Drosophila melanogaster: one gene and its partner. Each later gene encodes a partner of the first gene's protein in a complex. Each region holds a gene or a part of one and is shown on either strand. Other genes may lie near its edges.

What was found.
Region 2: kto (region 1) and CycC share a complex: the UniProt entries of both Drosophila melanogaster proteins name them as parts of the cdk8 module of the Mediator complex.

What each region holds. Positions count from the first base shown.
Region 1 is NT_037436.4:19,826,720-19,843,711, forward strand, and holds the start of kto (kohtalo), read left to right. Parts: upstream 1-9,894; 5' UTR 9,895-9,956; coding exon 9,957-10,569; intron 10,570-10,630; coding exon 10,631-13,298; intron 13,299-13,372; coding exon 13,373-15,086; intron 15,087-15,144; coding exon 15,145-15,513; intron 15,514-15,572; coding exon 15,573-15,887; intron 15,888-15,958; coding exon 15,959-16,270; intron 16,271-16,374; exon of another isoform or gene 16,375-16,410; intron 16,411-16,474; coding exon 16,475-16,781; intron 16,782-16,845; coding exon 16,846-16,992. Other genes in the region: Deaf1 (deformed epidermal autoregulatory factor-1), read left to right, coding at 1,598-2,226, 2,301-2,471; trc (tricornered), read right to left, coding at 5,357-5,451, 5,509-6,005, 6,051-6,157, 6,215-6,424, 6,891-7,373; CG32221 (uncharacterized protein), read left to right, coding at 8,082-8,571, 8,635-9,326, 9,402-9,518. UniProt on the Drosophila melanogaster protein: Component of the Mediator complex, a coactivator involved in regulated gene transcription of nearly all RNA polymerase II-dependent genes.
Region 2 is NT_033777.3:14,876,320-14,892,291, reverse strand, and holds CycC (cyclin C), read left to right. Parts: upstream 1-2,086; 5' UTR 2,087-2,234; coding exon 2,235-2,822; intron 2,823-2,882; coding exon 2,883-3,098; 3' UTR 3,099-3,288; downstream 3,289-15,972. Other genes in the region: UQCR-C1 (Ubiquinol-cytochrome c reductase core protein 1), read right to left, coding at 1-341, 416-507, 569-939, 1,002-1,330, 1,390-1,596, 1,866-1,934; CG33332 (uncharacterized protein), read right to left, coding at 3,333-3,497, 3,558-4,442; CG33331 (uncharacterized protein), read right to left, coding at 4,682-5,710; Rrp6, read left to right, coding at 6,350-6,457, 6,532-6,713, 6,826-8,230, 8,469-9,395, 9,488-9,568; CG3631 (uncharacterized protein), read right to left, coding at 10,232-10,439, 10,496-10,696, 10,757-11,334, 11,498-11,776. UniProt on the Drosophila melanogaster protein: Component of the Mediator complex, a coactivator involved in regulated gene transcription of nearly all RNA polymerase II-dependent genes.

The DNA of each region.
Region 1 (16,992 bases):
GATGCTCATCAGGTGTCAGCTGGGCGTCGCCGGGGGTGGCACGCTGACACTCCCTCGCTGCTGTCTATTTGTTGGGTGTCAGCTGGGCGTCGCCGGGGGTGGCACGCTGACACTCCCTCGCTGCTGTCTATTTCTTCGCCGCTGAAGACGTCGATGGTCGCTCACAAGTCCCCAGGCAGTGGGGACTCCAGATTCCTTCGCAGCCAGGGGGGCAGGACTTCTTTGGTTTTGTTAATGCTGGTGCTGGTGCTGGACATGCCTGGTATTTTGGAACTTCATTAATTGTGGGTATATTTTTAATATTATCTGAGTGAGTTTTCTCGAGCTTATGGGTCTTTAATTCTTGCTGATATTGCAACAAGTGGTCTAGCTCTGCATGTAGCTTTAGAGCTTTCGACCAAACCGGTGGCGTTTGCTGACCGTATATTAGCCACCTTACGTGGGCTATACGTTTATTCAGCTTAGTTTTCAAACCGCCACGGTGTTTGCCCATACTCAATAGAACTCTACTCACTCAGATTTTTCCTTGGTTTTTGCAGTTCCATTTAATTAGTCCAGTCTTCTTCCAGTCCAGTGTTCCTTTGTTCCTTTGTTTTCACCAGCTTTGGTCAATTCGTCCAGCGTTGGACGACTGTCACGGTCGCCATGTAATGATGAACTCCAATTAAGAACACAAGTCCGTTTTAAGTTGAAGGCAGCCGTCGGGCTGACATATATTTATTCAATTTCTTCTTTTGATTTTAGAGTAGGCAGAAATGGTTCTGTCAGCTCAACGTCTACAGAGTCTCTCCGATTTTACAGTTTTTTATATATTTGGACTTAGGCTAATCCGCGTAGCTGCGCTGCCGGGTACGCCAGCAGCGGAGCGGCGTTCTTATGTATATCTTATATATCTAGGCTTATCGGGAGAGCGAGATATGTATGTACGTATGTAATATGTATTTGGTCGGCGTGTGAATGCTGACCATGCACTTATACTTTTTGCCTTCGAGTGGGTGATCATGTTACATCCGCCCTGGCCTAACTGCGTGCATAAACATAAACATAAACATAGCAACAAAGTGCTGCCATAAGTTAATATGCTATTTTATTTAATTGTTCTTAATATTGCATAGGCACATACTACAGTCAGCTCTCTAAAAGAGGTTTTTGAAATGCAATATTGCATAATAAATATAGATTAATAAGAAAGAGCGTAGTAACTAGCAATAGAAAAAATAGTTAAAAATTTGTTGCGCTTGCTGATATGCAAACATATTGACAGATGTACTCTCGCCGGTTAATTAAAAGCAATTTAAAATTGATTGCTCTTGACAACTAATAATGCTACTTTTTAAGTCATTCGGACAGGACATTCGGTTCTGATGTCATTTTGATTTGATTTTTTATTAGCAACTCATTACTTTGATCGGCCCTAATTCGTAATAGTTTGATAACTAATTAATAACTAAGGAAAGCAAATAGTCCTTTCTACAATAGTTAACTTCTATGTGAAGCCCTTGTTATGTCTTCTCCAGTTGTGCCGAGCCCTATGTGCACCCAACTGCACCCAACTACAACCATTTGTTTAACCCCCTTACACGCTCATCTTGTTTAGCTTCCGGCCCTGTCCGTCTCTTTACACCGTACAAGCGGCGGAAGCGGAATCAAACTGATCTCGATATGGAGTCTGGACCCAAACGCAAGCGTAACACCCATCATAGTAACAACAACAACAGTAACACCAATAACAACAACACGAGCGGGAGCGGCGCCAACAACTGTGTGGATGTAACTGCAGCTGTGGCTGCTGCAACAGCCAGCGTGGTGGACGAGAACAACATGTTCCTGTCGGAAGAGAACATCACGTCCAAGGATGAGCCGTGGGCAGCGCTCAACGACAGCCTGGACACCTCCACCGAGCTGGTCGATCAGTCGCAGATGGGCAACACGTACGAACGGGAAACGTTTGTGGTGAACATCAACGATGGATCCTCCATCGCCGTCCTGGACACCAGCCAGTCGATGAAGAACATCGAGCACGTGTACTGCACCATGGTCAAGGCCACCAATGACTTCAAACGCATGCTTAACGACATGAAGCAGTCCTTCGAGCGTCGCATCGAGGTTCTGCAAAAGGAGCGCGATGCAGCGGTCAGCGCGATGCGTGTCCAAGTGCACGCGGACATCGATGATCCAAATATTTCAGGCTCCCTGCACGGCAACGAGATCATTTCGGCTAAGAAGGTATGTTTTGATACTACAGATAGGGCTAATTATCCAATCGATATCTTACTTATCTTTTTAATATTTTCAAATAGTGCGCCAACTGTAACCGCGAAGCATTGGCCGAGTGCTCACTGTGCCGAAAGACGCCGTACTGCTCGGAGTTCTGCCAGCGGAAGGATTGGAATGCTCACCAGGTGGAGTGCACAAGGAATCCACAAACGACAACGCAGCAGGTCATGCTGTTGATCGACGATCAGTCCTAAGCAACGTAACGAAATGTACATACAAATTTTACTACTAATTAATACGATTATAGGAAGTCGACCCCCCCTCCCCCAAGTCGCTAAAGTCCTTGCAGTTCGGTTCAGGTCAAACACCTGTAGTCCACTCCCACTCCCTTCCCCCTCGACCCCTCTCTTCCCCCAAAGTTCCCATTAGAAGGCCTGCATCCTCTTAGACGTATGTCCTACATTAATGTAATTCTTAACGTACATATAACTATATAAATATATATACATTTTACTATTGAACGTAGGGCAAGCCAGCAAAGAAAAAAAAAATAACAAAAAACAAGCGAAACGAAAGTAAAATTAATTAAAAAAAGAGAAAATGTAGCAAGCGAAAATCAAAGCAAGTGCAAAGGCGTAGAGAATTAAGCTACGATATGAAAGTAAAAAGTGAAGAAAAACTAAACCGATTACTTGTAATTCAATTTAAATTAAATTAAATTAATTAATAATAGTTGCAAGCGCATAGCATAACTAACGAGAGACCCCAAGCATCCAGCCACCCCGCTCCCCGCACCCTACCCCATTCAAAAACACACAATCGACAGTGAAAAACAACTAGATAAAACCTAAGCGATTATAAAAAATTTCTGAAATTACCATACATATTCGTCGATGTATACACTTTTCATTAGACTGTAAGCGCATAGTTAAACTTTTAACATTATACCATTATAATTTTATGGATACTACTGCCCGTTACAAGCATCCAATAAAGATTTCAAACAAACAAGCTAAATAAATCCACAGTACGAAGTAAACGCAATCCGAATTCCAATTTCAATTCAAATTTCAATTACAAACATACATACATATGCATATATGCCCGCACAGTAATCGAACCGTAATGTAAACAAACATATAGCTGAAAATGGAAAATTGAAAATGGACAACTTACAGTTTGTTTGTTAGCTGTGTGTAAATGTGTCTCGTAGGGTTTTCCCCGTTCTCCCGTTTGTAAAGTTTTGCCTACGCCCCCCTCAGCTGATGTAACAATTCTTATAGTCTGTAGTCTCCATATGCTAATACATTTATATATGTAGTATATATAATAAACGACTAGCTATATATTCCGATTCACGCACACACGCGCCACGTACACAGCGAGAAACCACGATCGACACACATACACACATTAAATCGCAGATGGAAAACAAGTTACTTTCGATTTTCGAGCCTAACCGCCTGACCAATTCAATTTGAAATCTTTATTTTCATGTCTGTAATGGTTTCGGATGTTGCACTCAATTAAAGCCAAGCCACATTGTTCTGATACAGATACAGAAACTGCAGAACTGCAGAAAATGAAATCAACGCCCTCTCATCAACACACAAAACACAAATCAAAAATCGAACGCGAGTGCAGATAGGGAAATATCGAGAGAAGTGCAGATGAAAAGATCGACAAAATATATACATACATTTAAATGTACAAAGCCTAGCATTTGTGTCGTGTTACTTTTTGGTTTCCTCATGCTTACTTATTTCGAAAATACAATACAATACCATTTAGGTTAAAGATGAAGGTTCGTCGTATCCATACCCATTCACATGTTGTTACACTACGGGAAACTCAAAAGCTTAAGGTTTCTTTGAGATAGGTTTCATGATTCAAGTGGAAATAGGGAGATGATTCCAAGGTTGATGTCCACGGTGTATGATTTCATGAACCACATCCACCTCATAGAATGCTTCAAGGATGCTAGCACTCCTGTAAGTAATGCACTGATTGCCCAGATCGAGTCGAATTCAAGTAAAAAGCATGTATTTGTTAGTTATTATGCACATGTTTCATTTATTATTGCATTTCATGTTGCTGTGTGTGTAGCATTATTATCGAATTATCAGTATGCTTACTATTATTGTATTCTATTACCAAAAATAATTTCTTAAAACTTGTTTACTCGTTTAATTTATTTATAGGTATATTATCAATTATTTTAAGTTTGCATTCTGCAACTGCTCGGCGTTGAGTGTTTGCTATGTAATTGGATTTATACTTGCCAGCGGTAACTCGGTAACTTTTTCAATAATTCACTTTTGCTCAAACTACAATTACTTGGAACTAAAAACTCCAGCGGGAAGTAGAATGTTTTTAAATCTATATTCGTGTCCGTGGGCGCGGGTTGTGGTGGGGTGGGATGGGGCAGGTGTACATAGAACGAAACCGATATTTAAACATACTTTTATTTATTCTGCTGTCTAGATTAGCTTTTGTTGCTATTGGCATTAGTAACTAATTTGTGTGATAGATTTTCGGATTCGGTTTTGTGTGTGGGGTTCACTATGTATTAAGACTTTGTTTCATTACAAGTTGATACAAAACATATACGTACAATTAACGTGCCTAAAAGTTATAACATTTTTAATTTGCTAAATAATAAATTTATGGGTATTTCGCTGCTGCCCAATAAGTAAACAATATATATATATATAAAGAATTGCCGAATGGGTCCCTAATATGGGGAACTGGTTTACAAACACAACGTTTAAACGATTAAGATCGGGATTAGGGATTGAACAAAGCCAATGGAAGGACATTTGAGGATTAGTATAGCGTTTAACCTAGCCCGAGGCGCGGGCGACGCTCTAAGACTTTTTTACATACAATACATCGTTTGTTCGCGTTATCATATTCTTCTCTTGTTTGGAATCACAAATGTTAGCTAGTATTTAAATACACATGTAGGTAAGACATTCAAAAAGGAAAATCGGGGATTTCGTTTAGCGTGGAGAATGCTCTTGGTGGTGATGGTGTTAGAGAGACGACGGCTGTGGTGGTGATAAAATGGGTGGCAAAGTGCGGCAACCTTCAAGCTGCTACTGCTACTGCTCCTGCTCCAGTTCCTGCTCTGCTGGATTCACTCCAAATTTCGCACCTCGAATCGTTTGTACGTGTAGTTGATAAAGACCCAGTCCTTCGCAATCTCACCGCCCTGCGGTATGGGCGCCGATGCTGCAATGGATGCACGTTAGTCTGTGTGCTCGTCCCTTTGCTTAAAAATATACTTACGTATCTCCAGCGACACATCGGGAAACTCGTCGAAGTTGGACGTATCGTCGATTGAGCGCACCTCAACGGGTATGGCCGCGGGACGCTCACGTATGTGCTCCCAGTCAACTCCCCGGAAGAACGGCACGGACTTCAGATCCTCCAGACCGCGCTGGGAACCCAGCCGGCGATCGGCCTCGCAGCAGAAGTTGATGATCGTCTCCTTGGCCTCCTCCGATATGGGGATCTCTGGGGGAAATATCAGCGTCTCGCGCCAGTTCATCACCTTGCGGTAGGTGTCCTGGGGATTGTCCGAGCAGAATGGAGGATAGCCCATCAGCATTTCGTACATGATGACTCCCAGGGACCACCAGTCGCAGGCGGGTCCGTAGCCAGTCTGCAGAAATACTTCGGGTGCAATATAGTCCGGCGTTCCCACGGTGCTGTAGGCGAGGGCGCGTCGATTTCGCTTCCACGACTCGGCACGTCGCTTGGAGTCCATCGGACTGCAGGACAAGCTAGTTTATTTAATAAATACAAGCTTAGATTCTTTCACATCTTACCTGGCGCACGTGCCTATAAAATCGGATGGTTTCGCCTGCGACAAGTCCCGATAAAAGTCTGTTCGATGCGACTTCTTTAAGCCAGTGCACAGTCCGAAGTCGGAGAGCTAAAATAATAATAGAGTTTTTAGTGGGCTCATCTCAATTATCTGGATTCCACTTACCTTCAGATGCCCTCGCGCGTCCAGCAGCAAGTTATCGGGCTTGATATCCCTGTGTATGAAACCGAGTTTGTGAATAGAATCGATCGCCAATGCCGTCTCACTGATATAGAACTGTGTGCCCTCCTCGGATAGCGTGTCCTTCTTCATCAAAAGCGTCATCATATCACCACCAGGCAAGAACTCCATTATCAAATATAAATTGACGGGATCCTGTGGAAAGATATTTCAAAAACATTCTCACATTATTACTGAGTAAGAAAATACTTATATATGAATGCAATTGTATTTACATTCATTGTACAATAATTGTAATATGCAAAAATATCTTATTAAACAAATATTTAACGTCAGAGAAATGGCGATTCAGTGTAGGCTGGTTCGCCTGTGTCAAGAACTTTCACCGAGAAGAAGTTGACAAAAGAGAATCGAGAAAAAAACAACAAAGGCGGCCCACGCAGAGAATGAGAGAGGAAGCGAGAGAGCAAGAGAGACGTGACCATATGATTGGCAAAGGCGCTTTTGGCATTTGCCGTTGTATTGGTTTATTGATTTTTTTGTCCGTGTTTTAACACAATTCTTTTGTTATGTGCGCTGCCGCCCGCTCCTTCACCCCATCACCCTTTCTCCCACCCACCCTATATCATTGTTTTTGTTGTAGCTGGCGCTCGTCACTCACCTGGAAACTGTAGTACATCTTCACCACCCACTGATGATCGGCCTCGACCAGGACATCGCGCTCGGCTCGTACGTGTGCCACCTGCTCCTTTTCCAGCATGTCCGCTTTGCGCAGCACCTTCATGGCGTACACATGTCCCGTGTCCTTTTTCTGCACCAAACGCACTTCACCGAACGCGCCGCGTCCGATGACTTTGAGGGCCTCAAAGTCCTCCACACCGAGGCGCAATCGCTTCAGCCGGAGATACTCCGTCTCCTTCTGGGCATGCTGCAGACGCTTCTCCTGGCGCTGCGCCTCCGACAAGCTCTCGTCCTTCAGCTGAGCCTCCAGCTTTGCGAGGCGCTGCTTTCGCTCGCCATACTGCGTCACCAGGTTGCTGTAGTAGTTCTCCAACGTCACCTTGGCCTTGGTGGCCTTGTCCAGTGTGTGGTCGCTGAATCTGATCGAGGCACCGTCCGCGTCCTGCGTTCTGCTGCTCATCATCTAAGCTGGGGTTTTTGTCCTGGTCACCTCGGTCCTATTTGGGGCTTGTGTGTGTGCTCCCTGCGATGTCGGTGCGTGTGCGTGTGTGTGGTGAGGAGTTATGCACTTGCCAATGCACACACACTGCTTTCTTCGCCCGTTTCTTGCCTTTTTCCTCGGTAATTTGTTGAAATTCCTCCCTCTGCTGCTTCTTCTTCAAGAGCCATTCGCATTTTGCATCCCCAACAAAGCAAAGTTGGCTGCGATCCAGTGGGGCTATCGATAGCTAATCGATTGATTTTAGAACTTTAGTGCTTTTGGCTCGCAGATAGTCATGACAATTAAGCTTTCACCGACAATTGTATAAAATTTATGTACTGAAATTACGTTACTTATTACTTACATTGATTTTTTTAATTAAAATTGATTAAATTTAAATTTATTTAAATTTACTTTAAGGTCATGTTATTATTTACTGTAATTCTATTAAGAAACAAAGCTTAAACAATAGTTAAAATATCTTAGCTTTAACCTTTTAGCTTGAATCTTGCCAAAAGACTCTTACTTCGAAAATTGTCATCACTGCCACCAGTCCAATTAGTAAATAAATAGAACTTACCGACTTGGGATAAATTTTTCCATGTCAGGCGTACATAAACCAGTTGCCTTTGCTAATCTGGCCATTTGGCGCCTGTGACGGTCCCGCGCAATGAGCATAGTCAGCTAATAATGGCCCGCATCACCAGTATTCTGGACTTGGACCCCAGTTCTCTGTTGTTCATCTTCAAGCTTCTAAGCTTGGAGGACCAGTTGCACTTGGCGCGATGCTGTCGCATTTTTAGGGATGCCTTTCTTCGCCTGCATCGCCATGATTTCCAGGATGTTGTTGACAAGGATATGAGTATAAGGACTCTGGAGGATTGGCGCACCTTTCTGTGGCTCTGTGGCAGTCGCATCGGTACACTGGAATCCCACTTTGACGATGATCACCCGCTGCAGCTGCTCCCGATGATCAGCAGACACTGCTACCGACTGAAGTCCATCTCTATATACAATGCAACAGTGGCACGGGCGCAACCGTATTTATTGAGGATGAGCTCCCTGGAAAAGGTGCACGTGCGTAACTACAAGAGCACCAGCAAGGATCTAATAAAAGCCATTGGGATACACCTTCCGCGGGTCAACAGTCTGAGCCTGGAGAGCTTTGAACGCAAGGAGTGTAAGAACTATTTAATGTTCACCTTATCACAACAATATTATTTAATTGCTTCTCCCTTCACAGTACAAGAAGTACGTCAGTTTAGCGAGATGCTGGAACTTGGCTTGTACGACGACGTGACCGCCTCGGAATTCGCAACAATTGTGAAACCCATGAGGAAGCTGCGATGCCTTCAGCTGCGCAACGCCAAACGCTTTCTGACTACCAGCAATCTCAGGATGCTGGCCACCAACTGCCGCCACCTGGAGAAGCTGACGTTCAATGACTGCGACGCCGATCTGTTGGTCCTGCCGCAGTTTGTAAACCTCAAGTACCTGCAATTATACTGCTCGGAGGATATGAAAACGCGCCTGTTCAAGGCACTGGCCAAAAGCCAGTGCTCCATTCAGTTGGAATACCTCATCCTGCACCGCAAACGCTGGATTGACGAGGAGCAGGCGCAGTACATCAGTGCTTTGAAGTGTCTCCGGTGGCTGGTCTGCAAGCCTCGTGACGATCTGTGTGTTCACCACTTGGCGAAGTTGAGTCGATTAGAGTGCCTTTCCATACAGTCCGCTCGTGAGATTGGAGAAACGCAGCTCTCCCTTTTGGTGGCCAACAATGAGCGCCTTCGGTATCTGAACATTTGCTATTGCCTGGGCATCACAGACGCCTTCGTCTTGGACACGCTGGCCAGCTTATCGAAACGCTCAGCTCATCAAACCCTAGAGCTATTTGCCGCGGCCACTGACATTAGGCATGACATCATGGAACGGGTGAGTAATATTTAAAGCACATACATATATTCGAAAGTCCTTATGTTAATGTGACACTTTGTGCTTCGTTTGCAGCTACCGCACGAATTTCCCCTGAAAATGCTCTGTTTGAACTTCGAGTGCAGCGATGGAATGACAAGCGGCGGACACTTTTATGCCGATGAGCCGGAATTCGATCGCCAAGCCTTGTGAGGCCTTATTCGTTTAACAACGAATGTTTCTTCAATCATTACCAAAAATACAACGTAAATTATTTAATATTTATACGCAGCTTTATTCGTGATCTTACCACTTTGAGTGGTATTTCTTTTGTTAGTGCACAACGATGTAACTTTTTCACTGCATAATTAAAAAATTACGTCATATTTAAAGTACTGTATCAGGTTGATTGGGGATGTGTGGCTGAACATGATAAGATTACATTTGTAATATTTACAACCATTTAACACTTAGCTTAAATTCGATTGCATCCGCTAGATTGTTCGCGGGATGTTATCGAACTATCGATGGCTCATCGCATTTTTTCGCCCCACCACTGATATTTTGATTTGTTGTTGGGTTGGCGAACAGAGGAAATCGGGAATTCGCTAAGAAAATCTGTTTATAAAACGCAACTAGAGGGCCGCGAAGATGCTGTCCATGCTGCAGGAGAAGCGTCCGCTGAAGCGCACCCGTCTGGGTCCGCCGGACATCTATCCGCAGGACGCGAAGCAGCGAGAGGACGAGCTGACGCCCACGAATGTGAAGCACGGATTCACGACGACGCCACCGCTGTCCGATGAATTCGGTACGGCCCACAACTCGAATGTGAACGCCAGCAAAGTGAGCGCATTCTTTAGCGGCGTCCTGGCCAAGAAGGAGGAGCTGATGACCCTGCCGGACACGGGGCGCAAGAAGCAGCAGATCAACTGCAAGGACAACTTCTGGCCCGTTTCGCCGCGTCGCAAGTGTACGGTGGACGCCTGGTTTAAGGACCTCGCCGGTAACAAACCCCTACTTAGCCTAGCCAAACGGGCTCCATCGTTCAACAAGAAGGAGGAGATCTTCATTACTCTGTGCGAGAACCAGGTGAACATGCAACGCGCCACCTGGTTCATCAAGCTGAGCGCCGCCTATACGCTTAGCTTCACCGAGTCTAAGAACAAAAAGCGATCCATTTACGACCCGGCTGCCGAGTGGACCGGCAACATGATCAAGTTCATGAAAGAGCTGCTTCCCAAGCTCCAAGAGTATTATCAGCAGAGTGAGTACAGTCCTTAAGTTCTATAATCTATCAACTCCCTTATTCAACTTCTTGATTTTAGACCACGACAAGTCCTCTTCGAATGGCACCACTTCCGGAAGCCTGACCGCCGCCGGTAATGGTCCTGCCAGCAATGGCTCCACTGGCACCAGCTCTATTAACTCCGTCACCGGTAGCAGTGCTTCCACGAACGTAATCCCGGTACCCAGCATGGCCAGTCCACTGCCACCGATTCATAGCCCAGCTAATGGCCAACAGGCAGCTCCTGGCGGAGGAGTGAATGCCGGCAGTGTCATGCCGACGACGGGAAGCCTTGGCGGAGTAGTCGGTGGGCCGGGGTCTTCTGTGGTAGGAGGCGCAGCGGGTGCAGGAGCTGCAGTTCCACCAGGCTCTACAATTTCTGGAATTGGAAGCCAGTTCGAAGATAGTCGCAATGCGCTTAAGTATTGGAAATACTGCCACCAATTGAGCAAGTACATGTACGAGGAATCACTTTTGGACCGACAGGAATTTCTAAACTGGATCCTCGACCTTTTGGACAAGATGCGTACGCAGGCAAGCTTCGACGAACCGTTGAAGAAATTGGTGCTCAGCTTTGCCCTTCAGTACATGCACGACTTCGTCCAGTCGGAGCGTCTTTGCAGAAAGATGGCCTACATAGTGTCCAAAAAACTGGCCCAGTTGCTGAACACTGTCGTAGAACAGCAGACCATCAAAGAGTTGGACGAGCCGAAGTTGCAACAAGATCCCTATGAGCTGGCGCTTCAGGAACAAATGAGTTGTCCCCATCATCGGGATATAGTGCTGTATTTAAGCACGATCCTACAGATCATCACAATCGAGTGCCCCACAGCTCTGGTCTGGAGTGGGATAGCAGCTCACCGAGCACCCTCCTCGTTGTTGGGTAGTCCGCTGGACCATTTGCCTTTGGCGCCCTCAGTCTTGCCGATGCCCACACGCTGTCCGCGAACCAATCACGAGATTCGACGTCAATTGCGGGCCGCCGAGTCGGACATCGTATTGCGCACTCAGCATGCAGAGCAGCGCTGGTTTGCAGCCAAGTGGCTGAGTGCCGGCAAGAATCAATACACCAGTGTGCTGGCTACACTGGACCACTTGGACACGCACTGCTTCGATCGCATGGAACACAATAATAGTATCGATACCCTATACGCACAAATATTTCCCAGCCCAACTGTCAGTCGCAGGCGGGAGGAGGATCAGGTGGAACCTCGTCCGCCTTATGAACCCAAACAAGACAAGGACACGGTACGCATTCTGTGCGAGTGGGCTGTGTCGGGGCAGCGTTGGGGAGAACACAGAGCCATGGTGGTGGCCATTCTACTTGACAAGCGCCAGATCGACGTGACAAGCACGCCGGCGGATCAACAATCCAGTGATAAGGATGACAAGGACTCGCTAGCTTCGGGCGCCGGCTTAATTGATGGCCTGCCTGTGTTTCAGCACGTGTTAATGCACTTCCTTGACCACGATGCTCCCGTCCTCGATGAGCACGTGAGCAGTCCACAGCAGCGCACGGAATTTACCAACCTTGTTCAGCTGTTCAGTGCATTGATTCGCCACGATGTCTTTTCGCACAACGCGTACATGCACACTCTAATTTCACGAGGAGATCTGCTCCTGGAGTCGGTGCTGGTGATCAAATCAGGAACAACGGCCACGAAAACATCGCCGCCACCTCCAGCTCCACCACCAACGACGACGCACGGTTTCGATGATGACGGATTCGGCGGGGGCCTGGACTTCAAACACAACGAATTTGATGATTCCAATGTGGACGACGATTTGGACAAACTGGTGCAAAATATTAAGGAGAAAGGACAACAGCACGAAGCTCCAGACAGTCCCAAGATTGGTCCTCCAGGCGATGGAGAAACCAATCCTGGCGGTAGCATATCGCGGCATTACGTGTACACCAAGCACTTCCCCATCCCCCAGGATGATCCCAGCATGAGCAGCTACAGCAGTGAAAGCAACCAGCGATACATCCTGCTCTTCGGAGTCGGCAAAGAGAGGGACGAGAAGAAGCATGCTGTCAAGAAGATGTCTAAGGAAATTGGAAAGCTTTTCACAAAAAAGTTTAGCATAGATGTGGCGGCGGCCGGTCATGTGAAGAAGCACTCGCGCAACGAGTTTAACTTCGAAGCTACCACGTCCAAGTGCCAGCAGATGGCTTATTTCGACCAGCATGTGGTCACAGCCCAATGTGCGGCCAATGTCCTGGAGCAGCTGAACGGATTCGCGTTAGGGAACAACAACTACCTGCCGGTACAGGAGCACGTGGCGTTCCTCTTTGATCTGATGGAGCTGGCTCTTAATATCTACAGTCTTTTGGAACTGTGCGATAGTCTGTTGAAGGAGTTGCCTGAGGTGGAGCACCAGTTGCAGCTAAAGAAGTCAAACCTAGTGCGCAGTTACACCACTTCACTTGCCCTCTACATCGTCAGCATCCTGCGGCGCTACCACAGCTGCCTTCTTCTTTCACCGGAGCAGACGCTGTCTGTTTTTGAGGGAGTCTGTCGTACCATTCGGCACGTATCGAATCCGAGTGAGTGCACTTCGGCGGAGCGCTGCATTATTGCCTACCTGAGCGACCTACACGAGTCGTGTGTTTTGCTCCAGGGAAAGGAACAATCCACGGAGTACTACCAGCAGCTGCAGTGCATCAAGCGGTTCAAGGACATATTCAACACTCCAGAGCAGCTTGAGTGAGTTTAGATCGCAAGTTCTTCCCCAATAATATAATATATAATATTAACAAATATTACCATTTTTTATTTAGCCTACCACCTCAGGGTTACAACCCACTGTTGTTGCAGGAGCTTTTCATGGCCCCTCGACGCGGTGGTAAACTGGATCCTCACTGGCTGGGAACCCTGCACGAGTCGCCGGCCAATGTATACAGTTTCGTGTCTAACGCATTAATAGCCGTCTGCCGAGAGACGGACAACGAGCGGCTGAACGATGTGGCCCTCGCATGTGCCGAACTGACCGCCAGCTGCAACGTCTTGTCTGAGGAGTGGATATACGCACTGCAGAGTCTGTGCAGCGGCAGTAAGAGTCCGCGTTATCCGCACCTGGGCGGACAGGTCGACATTGGACAACTTAAGACTCACAACGCCCTGGCCGTGTTCGTATGCATTCTGGTGGCCAGACATTGCTTCTCACTAGCCGACTTTGTAAGTAAGTTCGCCCTGCCTACATTGGCCCGATCGGTAAGCGCTGGTGGAGCCGAACTGAGTGTAGATGCAGAGGCAGGTGCTCGTCTTACATGTCACTTGGTGCTGAAGCTGTTTAAGACCTTGGAGATTCCTCAACCTGGCATGTACTCGGTAAGCACTTCCCCGAATCCACTGCACGCTGTGGGAAACGACTTTAGCATTCGGCTGAGCTGCGATCGTCATCTTCTGGTGGGTGCCCATAAGACCATTCCCATTGCCGCAGTGCTTGCCGTGCTCAAGGCCATTCTCATTGTTGTGGACAATGCGGCGCTTAAAACACCATTGGCTTCCGGCAGCGGCACCTCCTCTGGCGGATTGGGCGGAGCTTTTGGAAGCGGCAAGCGTAGTGGCTTCAATACACCGGTCCATCCGGGAAGCACACCCAAGAGCAACGAACAACGACCGGCCGATCTCAGCCAGATCCTGGGCACCAGCGATTTACAATTGGGCAGCAGTTTGACAAGCGAACCCGAAGCCCTGCAACAGCCATCGGTCGGAGGAATGGAGCAGATCTCGCTGTTGGAGTTCGCCCAGGCGGTGCTCAAGCAGATCTGCGCCCAGGAACACGTTCTGGAAAGATGCCTAAAGAACGCAGAGCAACTCTGCGACATGATAATCGACGAAATGCTGACCGCGAAACAGGCACAGCGGGTTCTGCACATGATCTGCTATCCGGAGCCTGAGTTTAACATCATCTCCGAACTGGATCAGCGCTCAATGATCGTACGCATACTAGAGAATCTCGGACAGTGGACACTGCGTATCTCGTGGCTGGATCTTCAGCTTATGTACCGCCAATCGCTGAGCAACAACGCGGAGCTTAATGTTTGGCTCGACACAGTGGCACGCGCGGCAATCGACGTCTTCCACATGGAGGAAGTTGTCCTGCCGGGTGCCGTGAAGGCGACCCACAAACCCAAACCGTCCACCTGGCTAGTGGCTCCACTCATCGCTAAACTAACACCAGCGGTGCAGGGCAGGATACTTCGAGTGGCTGGTCAGGTTCTTGAGAGCATGAACTATTTCTCCAAGGTGTCCAAGTCCGATTGCAATAGCTCGGGCAGTGGTGACGAGCGCGAGAAGAGCAACAGTTGTCACAGTAGCAATAGCTATGGACTGGGCGGCGTGCCCGCACGCAACAAGAAGATGCCGCTTGATTATCAGCCTTTCCTGGGTCTCATCCTAACTTGCCTGAAAGGCCAGGACGAGTACAAGGAAAACTTACTGGTTTCGCTCTATGCCCAGTTATCACAATGTCTGCAATCCTTTGCTGAGGTGAGTGTTTACTTTCTATCCTTAAAGTTAAACTTACTAGTAACATGACTCCTTTTAGCTGGACACAATCGGTGGCATTGATGAGCCGCAGGCGCGCGAGGAGATCCTCGATGCGCTGCAGTTGCGCTTTTCGCTGGTGGGCGGCATGTTCGAGGCTATCCAAAAGAACAGTACCCCCACCACAGACTGGGCTATTCTTCTGGCCCAATTGGTTTGCCAGGGCGTGGTAGATCTCAGCTGCAATCGTGAGCTGTTCACCACCGTTGTGGACATGTTGGCCACATTGGTGCACTCAACGCTGGTCTCTGATGACGAGAGGCACTACATGAACCTGATGAAGAAGCTAAAGAAGGAAATCGGAGAGAAGAACAACGCCTCCATTCGGGTTATTCGGCAGCTTCTTCCACTTTACAAGCAGCCTACTGAGGTGAGTAGATGACCCAAAACTGAACGAGCTTGGAAACTGAGTGGTATTTCTCCCTTTAGGTGATTGCGTGCGAACACTCTGGAATGGACACCAAGGGCAACAAGATCTGCGATATAGACAAAAAACAACTACGCATTTCGGACAAACAGCGTATCAGCGTGTGGGACATCCTTGAGGGTCACAAGAACCCGGCTCCTTTGTCCTGGGTGTGGTTTGGTGCAGTCAAGCTGGAGCGCAAGCCCCTTACTTACGAGGAGGCTCACCGCAACCTGAAGTATCACACGCACAGTCTGGTCAAGCCCAGTAGTTATTACTATGAACCGTTGCCACTGCCACCTGAAGACATTGAGCCTGTTCCCGAGAAGATTTGCATAGTAAGTCCATTTTGTATTTCCTTTTGCATTTCCCTTTGCCCCTTTCTAAATGCATTGTTTCTATTTCGTAGAAGGATGAAATGAAGGCGGACACGCCCTCGTCGGTGGATCAGTCGCCAAGCGCTGTGGTTGGCGGCACGGGAAGAGGTCGCGGCAAGGGAACGACCACGCGGAAACGCAAGCCGAAGAACCCGAAAACGCCACCGGTGGTCAATACTCAGCAACAGCAGCCTCAGCTGGCACAGCAGCCTCAACAGCCGCAGAATGTGCAGCAACAGCAGTTGCAACAGCAGCAGCAACAACAGCAGCACATGCAGCAGCAGCACATGCAACAGCAGCAGATGCAGCCCAACCAAATGGGCCAGATGCCAATGAACATGCCGGTAATAAAATTGTTTTCGTTAATAGTTAAATTCTTAGATTTGGTTTATGAAGGAATCGAAGCAAGCCTCTTAAAGCAACATGATGGCAGAAAAATTCGAAAGTTGTAAACTTGTAATCCAGATTTTCTTAACCTTTTTCGGTGCTAAACCATTCTTCTGTTACCTTCGAGTTTAAATTATAACTCATATAAATTTTTTCCACAGATGAACATGCAGCAGTTTGCACCCAATCCGAACAACATGATGCAGCAGAATGCCATGTTACAACAGCAGCAGCAGCAGCAGATGCAGCAAATGGGCAACAACCCGATGCAGCAGCAGCTGAATGTGGGCGGTGGGAACGGGCAGCCAAATCCCCAGATGAACTTCATGCAGCAGGGACCAGGGGGCGGTGGAGCCGGACCGCAGGGTATGCCTGGCCAGCAGCAACAGTGGCACAATGCGCCGCAGCAGCAGCAGCCGCCACAACCGTACCACAACCAATACGCTCCGCATCAGCAGAACATGCAGTGTAAGTCGAGTGTTTGATATTATATACGGTTAAAGATTGTAATCCGTGTCACTTACCATTGCAGCAAATCGCATCGAGCGCCCGCCGTTGAATGCCAACTCCAAGCAGGCGCTATCACAGATGCTACGACAACGACAACCATTCCAGCAGCAAGCGCAACAGGGTCCGGGGGGTGGTTTCAATCCGATGCAGCAACAACCACAGGCTTCGC
Region 2 (15,972 bases), on another chromosome or scaffold:
ACCCTCAACCAGTACATGGAGGAGCGGATTCTGTTGTAGTCGGGCAGGTTCTCAACGGGACCCACGGCAGCGACGGCTGGGCACCGATCGTAGATGTACTTCATTGCGACGTCGCGCACATTGCCCACACTCACGGCATCGATGCGCTGCTCCAGCTCGTGCAGCGGGATGCGGCGGTTGTAGCACAGGATCTGGCGGCCAATGTCCTCGCAGATGGGTGTGGTGCCGTCGAGCTGCAGCAGCATGTTGGTCTTCAGAAGGTTCTTGGCGCGCTCGACCTCAGCCTCGGTAACCATGGTGCACAGACGCATCCACTCGGTCTGCACGTTGAAGAGCATATCCTGGGGAAGAGGTTTGTTTACGTAAAATTTGCTTTCTCTCGAGAGTTTTCTGTTGAATCATTAATTCTTCTTACCTCGCACTGCAGAGGGTCGCACACGAAGTAAATGCCCCAGAGTCCGGTGTCCTTGTAGCATGTGTTGAACGATTGGAAGCTGTGGCAAAGGTCTGTAGGGCAATAATAGTTAATAATCTCCATATCCTGGTCGTCTTACTGATGTACACTTACTGTCCTCAGCGCTGGCACGGGCCAGGTTGGAGGCGTTGTTGGCGCCACCGCCTTGGGAACGATCCCAAGCACCCACCAAGGTGTTGGCCACCATCAGGGGGATGTTGTCCTGGTCGGTCCAGCCGCAGCCTTCGACGGCGATGGCGACATGGGCCAGGGGCAGGGAATCGTCGCGCACACGCACCTCGGAGCCGGTGAAGCGGCAGGGAGTCACCTCCGCGGGCAGCACACTGGCCTCCAGGCCACCCAAGCTGCTGCAGGCAAGCTTGACCAGATCATCGTGCTTGACGCCGCCAGCAGCGGCCAGAACGATGCGCGAAGCCTTGTAGTGGGTCTGGATGTAGTCGGTCAGATCGGCCTTGCCAATGGACCTAAATAAATGAAGATTTTAATTAGAGACAGAGCATTTGTTATAAGAGCTGAATATACGTACTGAATGTTCTTGGTGGGTCCCAGGATGGTCTGGCCCAGAGGAGTGCCCTGATAGGCGGTGGCGTGAAGGTGATCGAAGACCACCTCCTGCAGGTTGCTCTCCACCTCCTGCATCTCGCGCAGAATCACCGAACGCTCGCGGGCGATCTCAGCCTCACCCAGCTTGGAGTTCTGGATGATGTCGGCCAGGATCTCGACGGCTTTGGGCACATCCTTGGACAAACACTTGGCGTAGAAGACGGTCTGCTCCCTGGAAGTGTAGGCGTTCAAGTGGGCGCCCAGGTTCTCAACCTCCAGCTCCAAATCCGTTTGCGAGCGCTTGGCGGTACCCTAAAAAGTGGCAGAAACGCATATTATACGCATTTAAAGCATCAAGCTAGTGAGCCAACCTTGAAGGCCATGTGCTCCAGGAAGTGGGCCACTCCGTTGTTCTTCTCGTTCTCGGAGCGCGACCCAGCATCGATCCACAGTCCCACGGTGGCGGTAGAGGCACCGGAATCCTCGCTAGCCACGCGGAGACCGTTGTCCAGCTTGGTCACCTGGGTGGCGGGTATGTTCAGCAGAGTCTTCTGTAGGGTGGCAGCCGACTTGTATCGCTGTAAGTTCGGGAAAATTGGGAAAACTATAGCCCAGAGTTAAGTAAAACACGAACATAACCTCAAAGTGCTTGTAGTGGGTTTTCCAAACAGTTTTCCCAAATATTTGTTTGAAAAACTGGATGGCTCTTGAATAACTGACCAACAAGAGGTTGTTTATCCCTTTTCTCACAAGAATAAACCACAATTGCAACCAAAAACACAATCATTTACAATTACGTAATTTAAATCCTCGGAAGCGTAATCATTGGATGGCTGTCTGGACTTACTTTGATCATGTCAACGCCCCGCATGAAGGAGCGCATATTCTGCGTCACGCCAAGAACTCGCAACGCCATCGTTTTATTAATTCGTTCAATAGCCTATTACTAAAAAATATTTAAGACTTTTTCGTCTGTGGCCGCGGCGCTGATGAAAAATTCACACACACACACCAATGTACTGCGCTGCGCAAAGTTGGCTGCGGCCAGTCAGCTGTTCGTGGAAAATAGCCCTGGTGTGCACACACTGGCTGAAACGGCAACACAATTTTTTCGTTTTTCCTGGTTTTCCGGCTTGCTATTGAAATAAACACCTAATTTGGATAGCTAACACGAAAATATTGGCCGACCTAATCAGCTAGGCCTACTAGTTACGAAATGGCGGGCAATTTTTGGCAGAGTTCGCACTCGCAGCAGTGGATTTTGGACAAACCCGATCTGCTCCGGGAGCGTCAGCACGATTTGTTGGCCCTTAACGAGGATGAATACCAAAAGGTGTTTATTTTCTTCGCAAATGTGATCCAGGTGCTCGGCGAGCAGCTAAAGCTGAGGCAACAGGTCATCGCCACGGCGACGGTTTACTTCAAGAGATTCTATGCGAGGAACTCCCTGAAGAACATCGATCCTCTGCTGCTGGCGCCCACTTGCATCTTGCTGGCCTCGAAGGTGGAGGAGTTCGGTGTCATTTCCAATTCACGACTGATCTCGATCTGCCAGTCGGCCATTAAGACAAAGTTCAGCTATGCGTACGCTCAGGAGTTTCCCTACCGCACCAATCACATCCTGGAGTGCGAGTTTTACCTGCTGGAGAACCTGGATTGCTGCTTGATTGTCTACCAGCCGTACAGACCGCTGCTGCAGCTGGTTCAGGACATGGGCCAGGAGGACCAGTTGCTCACCCTGAGCTGGCGTATCGTAAACGATTCCCTGCGCACCGATGTCTGCCTGCTCTATCCTCCTTACCAGGTTTGTGATCCTGATAATTTCTACAGCTTCCTCACATTTGAAGAACCTATTTTTTTCTAGATCGCTATAGCCTGCCTTCAAATCGCCTGCGTCATCCTGCAAAAGGACGCCACGAAGCAGTGGTTCGCAGAATTGAATGTTGATTTAGACAAGGTCCAGGAGATCGTGCGCGCCATTGTAAATCTGTACGAGTTGTGGAAGGACTGGAAGGAAAAGGACGAGATTCAGATGCTGCTGTCCAAGATTCCGAAACCGAAACCACCGCCTCAGCGTTAGAAGAGCTTCATAATCATTCATCATTAGCTGGTATTGCCCAATTGTGTGTTTGTACTCATATTACCAATGTATTTATGCCAATTAAACGAAAGTTTAAGCTAGGTGACTAAGCAATCAAAAATGTCATTTACAAATTATTTTGCCTTTATAATAATTATTTCTAAATTAAATTACATAATTGCTTAAGATTAACATGCGGTACGGATCGTCTGGATTTTTTATGGTTCATTTAACCTACAGATACTTAGCTTGACCCCTGGAGAACTTGGTGTTCAATATCTTGGCCTTGTCTACAATCTGCTTGGTCTGATTCTTGTCGATCTTGTTAAGTTTCAAGTCCACATCCCTACTAAAAGGTCTTCGTTCTGGCTTGGAACCCGATGCAGCCAGTTCTTTTTCCTTAAATTTATAACAATATTATATCCATATTATGTTTTTAAGAAATATTTTTCCTCGTACCTTTTCTCTCTGCTCTTTCCTAAGCTTTTTTTGATGTAGCTCCACTAGGGACTCCTCTCGCTTGTGCTTCTTTTTGTGCCTCTTGGCCATGCTCTCCTGCTCGTCATCCCGCTGCTGTTCGTACTTGACCTGTGCCATTTGCTCGAGTTCCTTCGAACTGAGCGACTTTGGGCCCGATGCAGCAGCATCCGCTTCACTCTGCGGGGTCTTCGTCCAGGATGATCGATCGCTAAAGTCGGGTCGCTCTTTTCCCTGATAGAAAGTGCGCTTCATATTGCTCAGGGCGGCAAGGCCGCTCTTCAGTCCCACATCTGGCAGCTCAAGCATCCACTCTTCGCGGACATCTTGGTCTGTAGATGTACCCAATCCCCCGCCCTCCAGAGCTGCCAGTTTAAGTGCCAAAGCACGTTCCTCCAGAGCCACTTGACTGGCATTTGGCAGAGGACCAAAGGTGCCAGCTAGGTCATCATCGTCCTCAGCTTCCGCTTCCTTAGTAGGAGACTTTTCCCGGGTCAAATTGCTGGGCAGGACGGGTCCTATCATGGCCTGCGGTTGTGGGGCTGGTTGGCTTTGCTCAGGGAGTTCCGGCTGCTGGGTCTTCCTTAAATGCGGCGGTAAAGCGGGACCAAAGGAATCTTCGTTGTTTGTAGCCACATCTGGCGGAGATGCATTAATTAAATGTGGAGGTTGCGTGTAAGGCACAGGTGGCTCCTCCTCATGCTTGCTGCGTTTCTTCTCCTTGTGGCGACGCTTTTCTTTCTTGTGCTTTTTCGACTTCTTCTTTTTGGACTTGTCCACATCTTTGCTGTGCTTCTTAAGCTTCCGTTTCCTTTGCCTTTCATCGCTGGACGAATTGCTATCACTACTATTGTCGTCGCTGGACATGATCTGCAAATACAATTAATGAAATAATAAGTAAACCAAGATATTCCTGAGGTTATAAAGAGGTCCATTGGATGTGAAAAGAGAGAATCCCCAAGAAAACTCAGGTCTTTGGATTGGGCTAAACATTATATTGCAGTTAACAACTTTAAAGCTTAAAAGTATTTAACAAAATGCAGCTGGATGGGACAACTTAGTCGGTAGAATGATTGGCAGCCAGGGGATTAACCCGAAAAATAAACCTAAACAGCGAATGTCTTTTGAGCCTTGCGATAGCTATACGCCAATGACTTGAGAATGCCAGCACTGGGAATATTTTTGATCGATTGCGTGACACTGCTGCGCCACACAATGTCGTTGACGGATGCCTGCAGCACCTCCGGAAGCTGGGAGGCCATGGATAGGTGATTCACCACCTGGGTGTAGTCGCCACGACAGGCGGCATTTCGCTGCAATCGCTTCTGAAGCTCTCGGGGCAACTGTCGCAGGTGTTGGCATGTAGCCGATGAGGATTTGTCCTGCTCGAAGATTATGGCTGGTTTCCGGCTCCCTGGTTCCTGGCCCTTCATGTTTACCGCCACATAGTCGGAAAGTTGTCCCAGGGAGGGTTGGTATAGGGCGAAGAAGTCATTGATTTGCGGACTAACTATGTTGTGCACTTTCTGTTTGTTTTCCCCGAAAATCATACGGAAATCGCCCTTGTAACTCAGTCCGGCGATGGTGTGGAAAAGTCCGTAGGCAGTGAACTTCTCTGGTAAAAGTAGCAGAGCCACTTGCAGCGCGGATACAAGATTCCTCTCCAGCGCAGCCTTGAGGGGAGGATTATCAGAAGGATTGACCAGATTCGTCACTGGTTTGTGCAGCCTTCCTGCCAAGTAAAGATGCCGCCAGTCAAGCAGATCCTCCAGCAGCTCCTCCTGCGACACCACGCCGTACTTTATGGTAATGCCCACATCTGGCAGAGGCACCAACGTGTTGCAATAGACACCCGCACCCAAACGCTCCTGATACTTGGCCACAAAGTTCGGTCCCAGGTGCCTAAGGGCGGAATAGTGGTCCGGATGACGGTGCAGGTTCTCCGCATGGAAGCCCCTAGCATCACGAACGCAAAAGACCAGATCCACAACGGTTCCCGGCGGAGGACGCAGGTTGTTTCCATTGCCGACTTTTCCATAGCCTTCCTGCTGTTTGACGCCGGATCCGTAGGCGAACATATAGCTGACACTGCCCAGAGGAAACCGCGCCACCGTGCGTCTGTATAGGTCCAGCATCTTGTGCGTGTTTTACCTCCTAATTGGACTAAACTTAGGCTTTATAATTACTTTTTTTTTAGCACGTAACTCCACTTCTTCTGGATGGAGTTGATGCTTCTCGGTCAAGCTCCTCGCTTTTCGCCGGCGCCGGAGGGGTGTACACACTGGCAATCAGCTGGCTGAAAATTTTGTTCAGGGTTTCACTTGAACAATTTAGCGCCCTCTTGAAAAAATAAAAGAAAAGACCAAATATTTAACAAAGAAAATATTTATTCAGTTTAATTTATATTGAAAGGAATATATATTTAGTTCAATATAATAATAACATTTTGCTTTTAAAAAGAATTTGTAAAGTATTGTTCATCAAAGCAGGTTCTGTTTACGGTTTAACATAACGAAATATCACCATTCCAAATTTGGCTAACATTTGTAAAATACACCTTCATATCGATTTAATTCGATTGCGGTCAGCACCGTTTTAGTGCTATATAGTGATCAAATTTCGCCGCCGGTAGTGTTGACAAACTCCAAATTCAAGCTGTTGTTATTCTCAAAAAAGAAGAAGAGAAAACACGCACATTTTCCACAATCTGTAAAACGACAAAAAATTTGTACGAAAATAACACAAGACATTCGACAAGGAAACACTATACAGACATGCCGCGAACCCCGAAAAGAGTTCACCAGGAGGCCAAAGAGGAATCGGCCCAAGCAGACCAGCCGCCAAAGAAATCCGCTTCAGAAGATGTTGAGGCATTCACAAACGTGGGTAGCAATTCAGCCAGCGTACATAAGTATATTTCAATCCAATCCCTACGTGTTCTGCTCTGACATTCCAGAAAGGGTTCAAGAATGCAATCGCCGCCACAAAAGCCGCTAATGCTTTCCCACAAGGAACAGCCCGCGCCCTTTACCTAAGCTATCCAGGCTACGCACGTGTTATGGAAGACCTGACCCAACGGGTGGTGGCGCTCATCGGGAACGTGCTGCACTCCAAGGACATCAAGGGCGACATCAAAAAGTAAGCTTCTAACCATGACATTATTCGAAATGTTGAAAATACAGCACAGCCATTGAAATCAAAGTTGGTACCTGTATCTGTAAATAACAATAGATCTTTATTCTTTAAACAGACGCCAACCGGAAGAGCAGTTTGAGATGGTGCAGGAGTGCAACGACGTACTGTTCGAGCGCATTACGACTAATCTAGACATTAAAGGTGGTCTGCGAAGAAATACACAACAGGTCGTAGAGGCCCAGGTGGACGTGATGAGCAGCTCCACATCCATAGAGCCCGCAGTAGCTTCCCCACAAACCCAAGGGACTCCAAAGGCAGGCAGCTGGAACAGAACGACAGGAACACCCCAACGCAGCATGGTTTCGGCTCGTCTCTTCACCGCCAAGAACATCGTTCGGCCGCAGACGCAATTTAGGGAGCCGGTGGATAACAGTGCCCAGAATCCGTTTGTTCCAAGACTCAAGGAGAAACCTAATTCTCTTAAACCGCTGGCCCTGCTGCCCGAATACGATGATGCCGGCAATGTCCAATCCTATTTGCATCCCTACGAGTTTGAGCTGCTTAAGTTTCAGCCTCCGGAGGAGCAGTTCCAAAAACAAAAGCCAGTGCTTCCAGCTCTGATGGCAGAAACCGAACTAATGGTGGTTGACACGGTGGAAAAACTGAAGCAGGCATTGGAGGAACTGAGACAAGCGCCCCAGATCGCCATAGATGTGGAGCACCACTCGTATCGCACCTTCATGGGCATCACTTGCCTGGTCCAGATGTCTACTCGCAGCAAAGACTATATTTTTGATACCCTGATCCTACGCGATGATATGCATATACTAAATTTGGTACTCACCGATCCCAAGAAGCTGAAGATACTGCACGGCGCCGATTTGGATATTGAGTGGCTTCAGCGGGACTTATCGTTGTATATCGTCAACATGTTCGACACGCATCGGGCTGCCAAAGCCTTGAATATGGCAAGGTTATCGTTGGCATATTTGCTTAAGCACTATCTGGACTTGGATGTGGACAAGAGCCTGCAACTGGCCGATTGGCGGATGAGACCGCTTCCCCAGCAGCTGGTGGACTACGCTCGTCAGGATACCCACTTTTTGATATACGTTTACGGACGGATGACAAACGATCTGCTGCAGCAGCATGCCGAACCAGGTCTGCTGGGCAGTGTCTATCAACAGAGCACGGATGTCTGCAAGAAGCGTTATAATAAGCCTCACATCGGACCAGAATCCCATTTGGATTTAGTAAGAAAAACGAAGCGCTCTTTCGACAACCGGCAACTGTACGCACTTCGCGGAATCTTCGAGTGGCGCGATGCGACGGCGCGGTCAGAGGACGAGAGTTACGGCTATGTGCTGCCCAATCACATGATGCTGCAAATCGCTGAGAGTCTTCCAAGGGAGATGCAGGGAATCCTCGCCTGCTGCAATCCCATTCCGCCGCTGGTGCGCCAACAGCTGCACACGCTTCACCAGATTGTCCTCAAGGCGCGCGATCAGCCGCTGGTCAAAGTGAGTTTCTTGGCGGTTTCAAGCAGCGCTTGCAACTCGATCAACGTTGGCGCCTATACCGATAATTTTTCATTACCAATTAACTGTAACTAACATTGAAATGAAGAACATGTTCTGAATTCACCTTATAGTTCAATTCATTTCACAACCGCAGGTCAACTAAAATAGGTTTAATGTTACCAAGTGTTGGGGTGGTATATCTAATGTTTAATGTTCTTGACTTTACTTACGATTTTAGCCGATCCTGGAAGCCCACAGTAGTACACAGGCAGCGTTGCCTCCGTCGACCAAAGACTTTAGCAGCAAGCTCTACTGTCCGCACGATTTTTCGCAACTGGAGGAGATTCGCGACGACCTGCCAACGCTGTTGAAACGTAATTCAACTACAGGAAAACTGGAGGTGCCCAATAAGGAGGAGGTTGCCAAAGTAGATCCAACCTTAGCGGCACCAGCCATGGCTCTGTTCGAAAAGCAGTCCAAGCCGACACAAGAAGAGGAACAGCGCTGGGCCCATCTTCGCAAGGAGAGCCAGACAATGCGTATGCCCTACAAACGCTATCTCGCCATCCTACCTCTGATGGTGCAGCTGAAGGCCGATCAGTTGGCCAGGGAGCGAAGTGAGTTGCAAAAGAGGCAATTGTGTCCAGCAGCCCCAACTGTGGAGCAAAACATTAAGCTGGAGGCACACGCCATCGGAAAGGAGGATGATGACATGTACTCCGTCCCGCTGAAGGAACAACTGAAGCGCAAGCACCCACAAGCGAACGTGAAAACAGATCCGGAACAGCAGCCGACTGCTAGCAAGCGACCTCGCAAGGACGAGAATTCACAAACCAAACCGCCGGTAAAGATCGAACCAGTCGAAAAAGTTCAGCAGGCTTTAGGCGAAAGCGATGATGAGGTCGTTGAGGTTCCTATCGAAAGGCAAGCCACAGAGCCACCGAAACCATCACCGGCACAGAACAACCGCAAGCAAAAGAAAAATCAGTTCCAGCGCGGATTCAAGGCCAAGAATCGAGGAAACCACCCGCAGAGCTCCAGTCAGCAGGTTCCGCAGCACAAGGGTACAGGCAACTTTGACTACAAGAACGTGGACTTCCGGCAATTCAAGGGAGGAGCGCAAAGAGCCCGGGGCACAGAAATCAAGCAGCAAATTCGCGGCAAGGTGAGTGCTATGAAAAGTATTAACAAGCTGGCTTAGCTTTTACTGAAACGATCTCTTCACTAAACATTTATAACGCTTGTTTTTTTTTTTAGAACCGTCCCAACAATCGGAACAACAAGCAGTTCAACAAGCTTTTTACATTTAGTAATGTAAGAAAAGAGGGCAAAAAATGAACTGCAATCGTGACGAAGTCTGTAAAATATACATAACTGGTATATATGTGAATTCAATAGTAAGAATGCGAGCAACACGAAAACTGATTGATGAAACTGATGAAGAAATAAACAAGTGTTTATTTTTGATTGTTTATAAATTCTTTTCAAGTTACAAAACTATTTTTTCTGAGCTTTGCAATTTTCTAAAATATTACCTATTAAATAACAACCGTAACTATTCATTAAACTAGACTATCGGATATGTTGTTATGGATCGGTTTGTAGTTCAATATTTAAGAACAGTTTTAAGAGATGGTCATTGAAAAAATATGGGAAAACCAAATAATAATTGGGACGTGGGAAATGTCATGGTAATAGGTTTAAATTTCAAACTTATTTCGTCACAACGAATTTTGTATGATTTAATTCCTAATTGGATGGCATCTCAATTTTTCGAAAACTTTTCTAGCATTCAAACCAATACAAGAAAGGACAAAAGAACTTAATTTAAAATAGGAAAAAACCTGTTTCGGGCATTTAAATATTTGGAAGAAATACAGAAGTAAAACATGGACTAAAATAATACGATAATTTCTCTATCTAACTTTAGCTTAAGTAGGATGTGGAAAGTGAGTTCCTAAAGCTCTAGTGCTGGCCATTAGCCCCAATCTTGAGCTGAAACTACAGAGTTTTGAACATTTTGTCGCCCTCGATGTCCATGCAGTGCTCCACAACAGCATAGACCACCAGAAGTCGTCGCTCCACTCCTTTTTTATGCTTATCCGTAATCAGGGGATAGAGAGCATCCTGCTTGGATAGTCGATCGATGATTTCCGTGAGTACGCCGCCGGAAAAGACTTGCAGGCGATCCCACGTGGACTTTCGCAGACTGTAAGGTATAAACGTAAATAGTTATAGGTATTTGGAAATTGGTCGAAGACTTACAGGCAGCATTGGTAGAGTGGCGCCAATATGTCCAAGTGATCCTTGTTCGGGTTTCCGAAGGCTTTTCCATTGTCTATAAGCACCACGCGCTCTTCCCGCGTCTCGTAGTGATGCCGATCTCCATTTTGGATTAGGTAGTCGAAAATAGACGCATCTATAAGGTCCAGCAGGCGGATGGTCTCCATTTTATTTTTCAACGATCTGAAAAATAATATTTTTGATTTAGAAGTTTATAGAGTGAAGTTGAAGTGTGGAACTCACTTGCAATAGGTCATATCGTCCTCCCAGGGCGCCCGCTTGTCATCCTTGTAGGTGCGTTGCCACGGTGATCGCCGCTTAGCCAACGTACCCGGAACAATATATATGAGCACACCTTCAATGTTGTGCCGCTCATCGCCACAAACAGTCTCCTCCTCGTTGCAGTAGTGACACTTCCCGAACAGGCAGTACTTCTCCCTGCCATCCTCGTCCGTTTCGATGTTTATGGTTTGCTGGAGTTCCGGATCGCCTTTGGCATATATCTCCTTCTTCAGGTTCACCACTCGACCCACCACTATGGGCGTCCATCGAAAGTCGAGCACGGCGCCCAGATAGAAGGCATATACTTCCGCCGTGTGGCGATCCTTGCCACTGTATATCATGCCATCGATGACCTCTTCCCGCGGATACCATTGCGGCTTAAAGATCACCTTCTGCTGGTGGGAAAGGCGGACGAGGAGCTTCAGTTGCGTGCCCCGACCCAGGTTGCTCACCCGGGTGATAGGTTCGCGGCGCAGTGTTTCTAAAAGCTGTCCCATCGATGAGTCGTATAAGGGATAGACCTCGTTTTCGTGCGGCCACTGAAAGTCACCGAATGCTTAGTGAATATACTTAGATGCATATTATAATATAGAATGTTTTCCCCTATTAAAAATTCATTTCCTTATTTTGTTTGCATAAGCAGCCAAACATAAATCACGAGCATAGCAATTCTGGCAGACCCACTAAGATCCATCGACTTACCCAGTTCGCAATGTCCCAGAGGACACTGGCGTTCTCGTACGGCGCCGCCTTGTAGTTCTTAAGCAGCTTGTTGCGGAACATGAAGAAGCGGGGATTGCGATTGAGGTAGTTGGGTTTTAGGTGGCGCATCTTGTGCCGTATCATGTTCTCCAGCGCCCGGACGCTGGCCAGATGACCCTCCTCGGCGCTGAGGTAGTACATAAAGTAGAAGTTGGCACCGAGCGCCAAGCCCAACAGGCTGGCCACGATTCCCGCGATGATGACGCTGCGCTTGTTCATCCTGCAGCCTGGGCGGGCGTTAGCCTATTTTTAATATTACGTATACGCAGCGATAGCCGCACTGGCAATTTGCACAATTCTAGCCGAAATGTTGATATGGCCGGGCTGGCACAGTGGCATGCTGCTGCTGTTGTTGCTGCTGTCGCTGCTGTTCCTCTGGCAATTGTTGCAGTTGTTGGTGTTGCACTTGCAATACTTGCTGCACTTCTTGCAATTGTTGCTGCTGCTCTGGCGATTGTTGTTCTTGCTGCGGCTGCCCTTCCTTTTGCTGTACCTATTTTTTTTTTTGGCAGACATCGGCTAACAACTGTTCGCATCAGTCCATTGTTGTGCAAATTAATTGTGGCCGCCTCTGAAAACGTGTAAGCATTAATTAAATTGTCAGCAGTAGAGAAAACGAGTCCTGTTCCGGGTTCTAGTCTATTTTGCTCACCCACCGCAACAAGTTAATCAGATCCGGTTGTTAACACACCTATGTACTGTTGACCCCACTCGAATTCTTGGCAATTCGTGTATCTTAGTATTTCCGTGTGATTCATTCAATTTAGATAATAACCGCGCCGATCAGTTGATAACTTCTAAATGATGGCATAAATCATGATGGTTTGATAATGTCGTTCTCCTAAGTGGTTATCCCATTGATCCTTCTATGCATTCAGATGGCATCCGATTGCAAGCAATCATCTAGAAGATGTGCAAGATACGAGATATGTGTGAAGTGTTCCTGGCACAAATAGCTTTCTATCTGACTTAACCGTTTGTTTACAAGCGTGCAGTTGCCCCATTGGGATTCTTGGCCACAATTGCCCAATAAATCGTGGTCTTCCTCTTCTGCTGCTGCTTTAATTGGTCGCCGTCTTATTTTTGGCCAACATCCACATGAACGAAGACCGCACTGCACGCATTCGGATTCGGAAGACAAAGAATTCTGTTGTCGCACTTAGGTTGCCTCTCCGATTTGGCAGATCGTGTATAAATAGCTTTTGTTTATGTCGGTGAAAATGGGAAAAACGTGCGTTTTTCACCGGCGCAGGAAAATGACAACAAAAGGGAAATCGTGATGTAAACAAAAAGCAGCTGACTTCAGCTGTTGCAGCCCTCGTTGGCCTGCGTGAAACGATCTGGCAACGTCATGCATAACCGCCAAATTCAATTTACATTATATATTCGTGTGATTTCGCCTTATTTTTGGGCTAATCCTCTCAGGTGGCTAAAAGTTAATCAAAAAACTAAGCCAACCCACAAAAGGAACGCAGGCTAAAGGTCAAATGCTCACACACGTTTGAGTTATTATAAAAACCCACACAATTCCAAATTGCACAGATGAGCCCAAGCGTGTACACTGCAAGAAATATTCGATCACGAAAAACTAACAAGTTTAGTATATTTGTTATTAAGAAATGAAATATATAATGCTGAACAGTAAGGAAATTAACTGTTGGCATCGATTTAATGAAATTGATTGGGCAAGACGAAGACTTTATTAGTTTCTTATAAATTATAATCTTTTCAACAATTTTCAAGAGTGCAGAGGTATGTGAAGTTAGCTTAGTTATTTTGTTCCATCGATGGGATAGCCTGGGAGTTTACCTTGCCTGCGGCCTCCCATTGGAGCAGAGCGCATAAACTGCGCCCACTTCTCAGCCCGAATGAAAGGGAAAAAGGAGGCCGAAAGGAGTGAAAGCAGGGAAAGCTGGAAAAGCTGGCAATGGGGAAAATCGAGGAGAGTTATCCCAGGCCACATATGGCGCAAAATAAACCGACAAATGATAACGGCACTCGAGCAAACAACAATAAAGGATGAAAAGCACGAAAATCGAGTAAATGAAAGAAATAATGGTGTCGGGAGTGTACAGCCAGTAACAAAACGCACGAACGTGTAAGGGGGGTTCCTTATCCACCAAACCCCAAGCCCCCCTCCCCACCACTTTTCTGCACACTTTGGGCCCCCGAAAATTCAAATGCCGACAGCATCCGCCGCCACATTTGTTGCTGGCCTGGGAAATCCAAAGGCAGTTGGCGGCCAGAACGCAACACCCTCGACACATAACGACTACAGTTAAATTTAGCCAGCAGTCGCATCACTCGCAGAAATAAAGCTATTGAGTTTTCTAAATTATGTAACAAGCGAATTCAGACGATTTGATTTGAAAAAATTTCCTGAAATGGTTTCGTTTTCCAATGATTTCGGATATTAAATGATATTAAGCAAATACTTATGGAACAATCTATATTGATAACCCTCTTGCCGAAACTACTAACTTCTCATTTGTTTTTAAGCATTGACCAGGAGATTTTTTTCAGTGCATGTAGTGAGTACGCAAGTGCCAGAAAATGATCTGCTTGCTTGTCTTCATTGTTTTGTGGGTTTGCTCGTTGGTTTGTTTGTTTGTTTGCCAGTTCGCGTGGGTTGTGTAATACATATTGAAATAAGCCAATTTCTGAATCTGGTGAGCGGCAAAATGCATAAGTTGCAAAGAAAATGCCAATTCAAGAATTTTTAATCCACTTTCATATTCAAATATCCATTTGATCAATATTAGTGCTATAATATTACGATTTGTAGCAGAAATGTGTATAGTTGATAAGAACTAAACCTATTAATATCGGCTCATTTCTAATTAATATCAATTAGGAATCCCCACTCACAGCCAAATGAAAACGAACAAATAAACAAAACTAGACAATTCAATTAGGGCGAAAATTGTGAAAAGCCAATGGAAGTACACAGTTCTTCGTAATTGGGTCAGATGTCGCTAACGAGTATGACAATTACACAGAATGTTTCCCAAAGCTGACGGCGAACGCCAAGGAATCAATTTCGGCCAAAAGAAGGGGGTTTTCCCCTTGACGTGTGTGCGCGTAATGAGCTTTCAAAATATTTAGCTGAAATTGGAAATTTATTTGGACATACATAAGTACAAGGATATTGGACAGAATCCTTGGGAGTGAATAAATATTTGAGTGTGTAATAAATTTTTCCAGTAAGGAAAGAGTGTATGCATATGAAAGTATCCCTGAGAATCGTTAAAATACCGCGAAATCTGTGCAAACATAATTTAAATTTGTATCTGCACTTATACCTTCCTACTTTGTTAACCCGAAGCGAACACAAGAGGCTGTTAAAAAAAAAAGAAAATCAATTAATTCACATACCAGCACAGATGGGAAAGTTACACACCGCGTCGTGTTAATTGCCCATGTGCCCCAATTCATGTTTTTTTATCACAGCTCTTTTTGTTTGTCTCCGCTGGATGGCGCTTTCCTTAATGGCTGTCGCTCTTATCTGGCCCCTCATGCGTTTTGTAATTAATTGGCAGACATTTTACTGCCGTGCAACGTTGTCATAGGTCGTTCAGCACGTGCTGGCCGAAGGCGGCGCGGGTGGTGGTTTGTGGATGGTGTTTCCTAATGATTAATTACAATTTAATTTGTTTGGCATTTTGCAGCGCTTTAACGGCGACGTTGGACGATGACAAAATGTCCTTTGGGCTCCCGAAGGATTCATTTAAATTTCAACAATTGCTTGCCGCCAAATAAATTTGTCTCTGCGCTCAATTTATTATGTTTGCTGCAAGTTTAATTGAATTTGTTGGCACAATACAACGGGGATCCATCTAATTAATTGTTTTTTGTTTTTCTTCTGTGTTTTGATTCGCATTTATCTTCAATTCGTGCCCTTCTTTGTTTTGCGATTTTGCTGCTTTGCTTTGCTGCCAGAAATATGCAAATTTTGGCTAATAAGTCGCCCTATGAATTATGGGAACACAGAAAGTAATCTCTTTAATTCGAAATTTCTTTTGGCACTTGAAATACATTGATAAGTCATGGTTTCAAGCAAAATCTGTAAAGATTTTCCGTGACAAGTATGTCAGGATATTTTTTACGACTCTTTTCAGCCCTCCGTTTGTGCAAGAAAAGGACGTGAAAAATGGGTAACAATTTTGGGGGCCCAACGTGAAATTAACTCATTCGTTGTGGCCTAGAATAACAAAAGACACTCGCACACACACTGGCACATCCTTTCAGACACACACACTCACACAGTCGTAAATAGACGCTCCTAAGGTCAAGCAACGTCATTTTTCAGACGGCCAAACAAAAAAAAAATTGATCAAGGAAGAAAAAAGGGAGAATAACTCGGCTTCAAGTGCCGCCACATGGAGAATTTAATGTGTCATAGTGTTGGGTACACA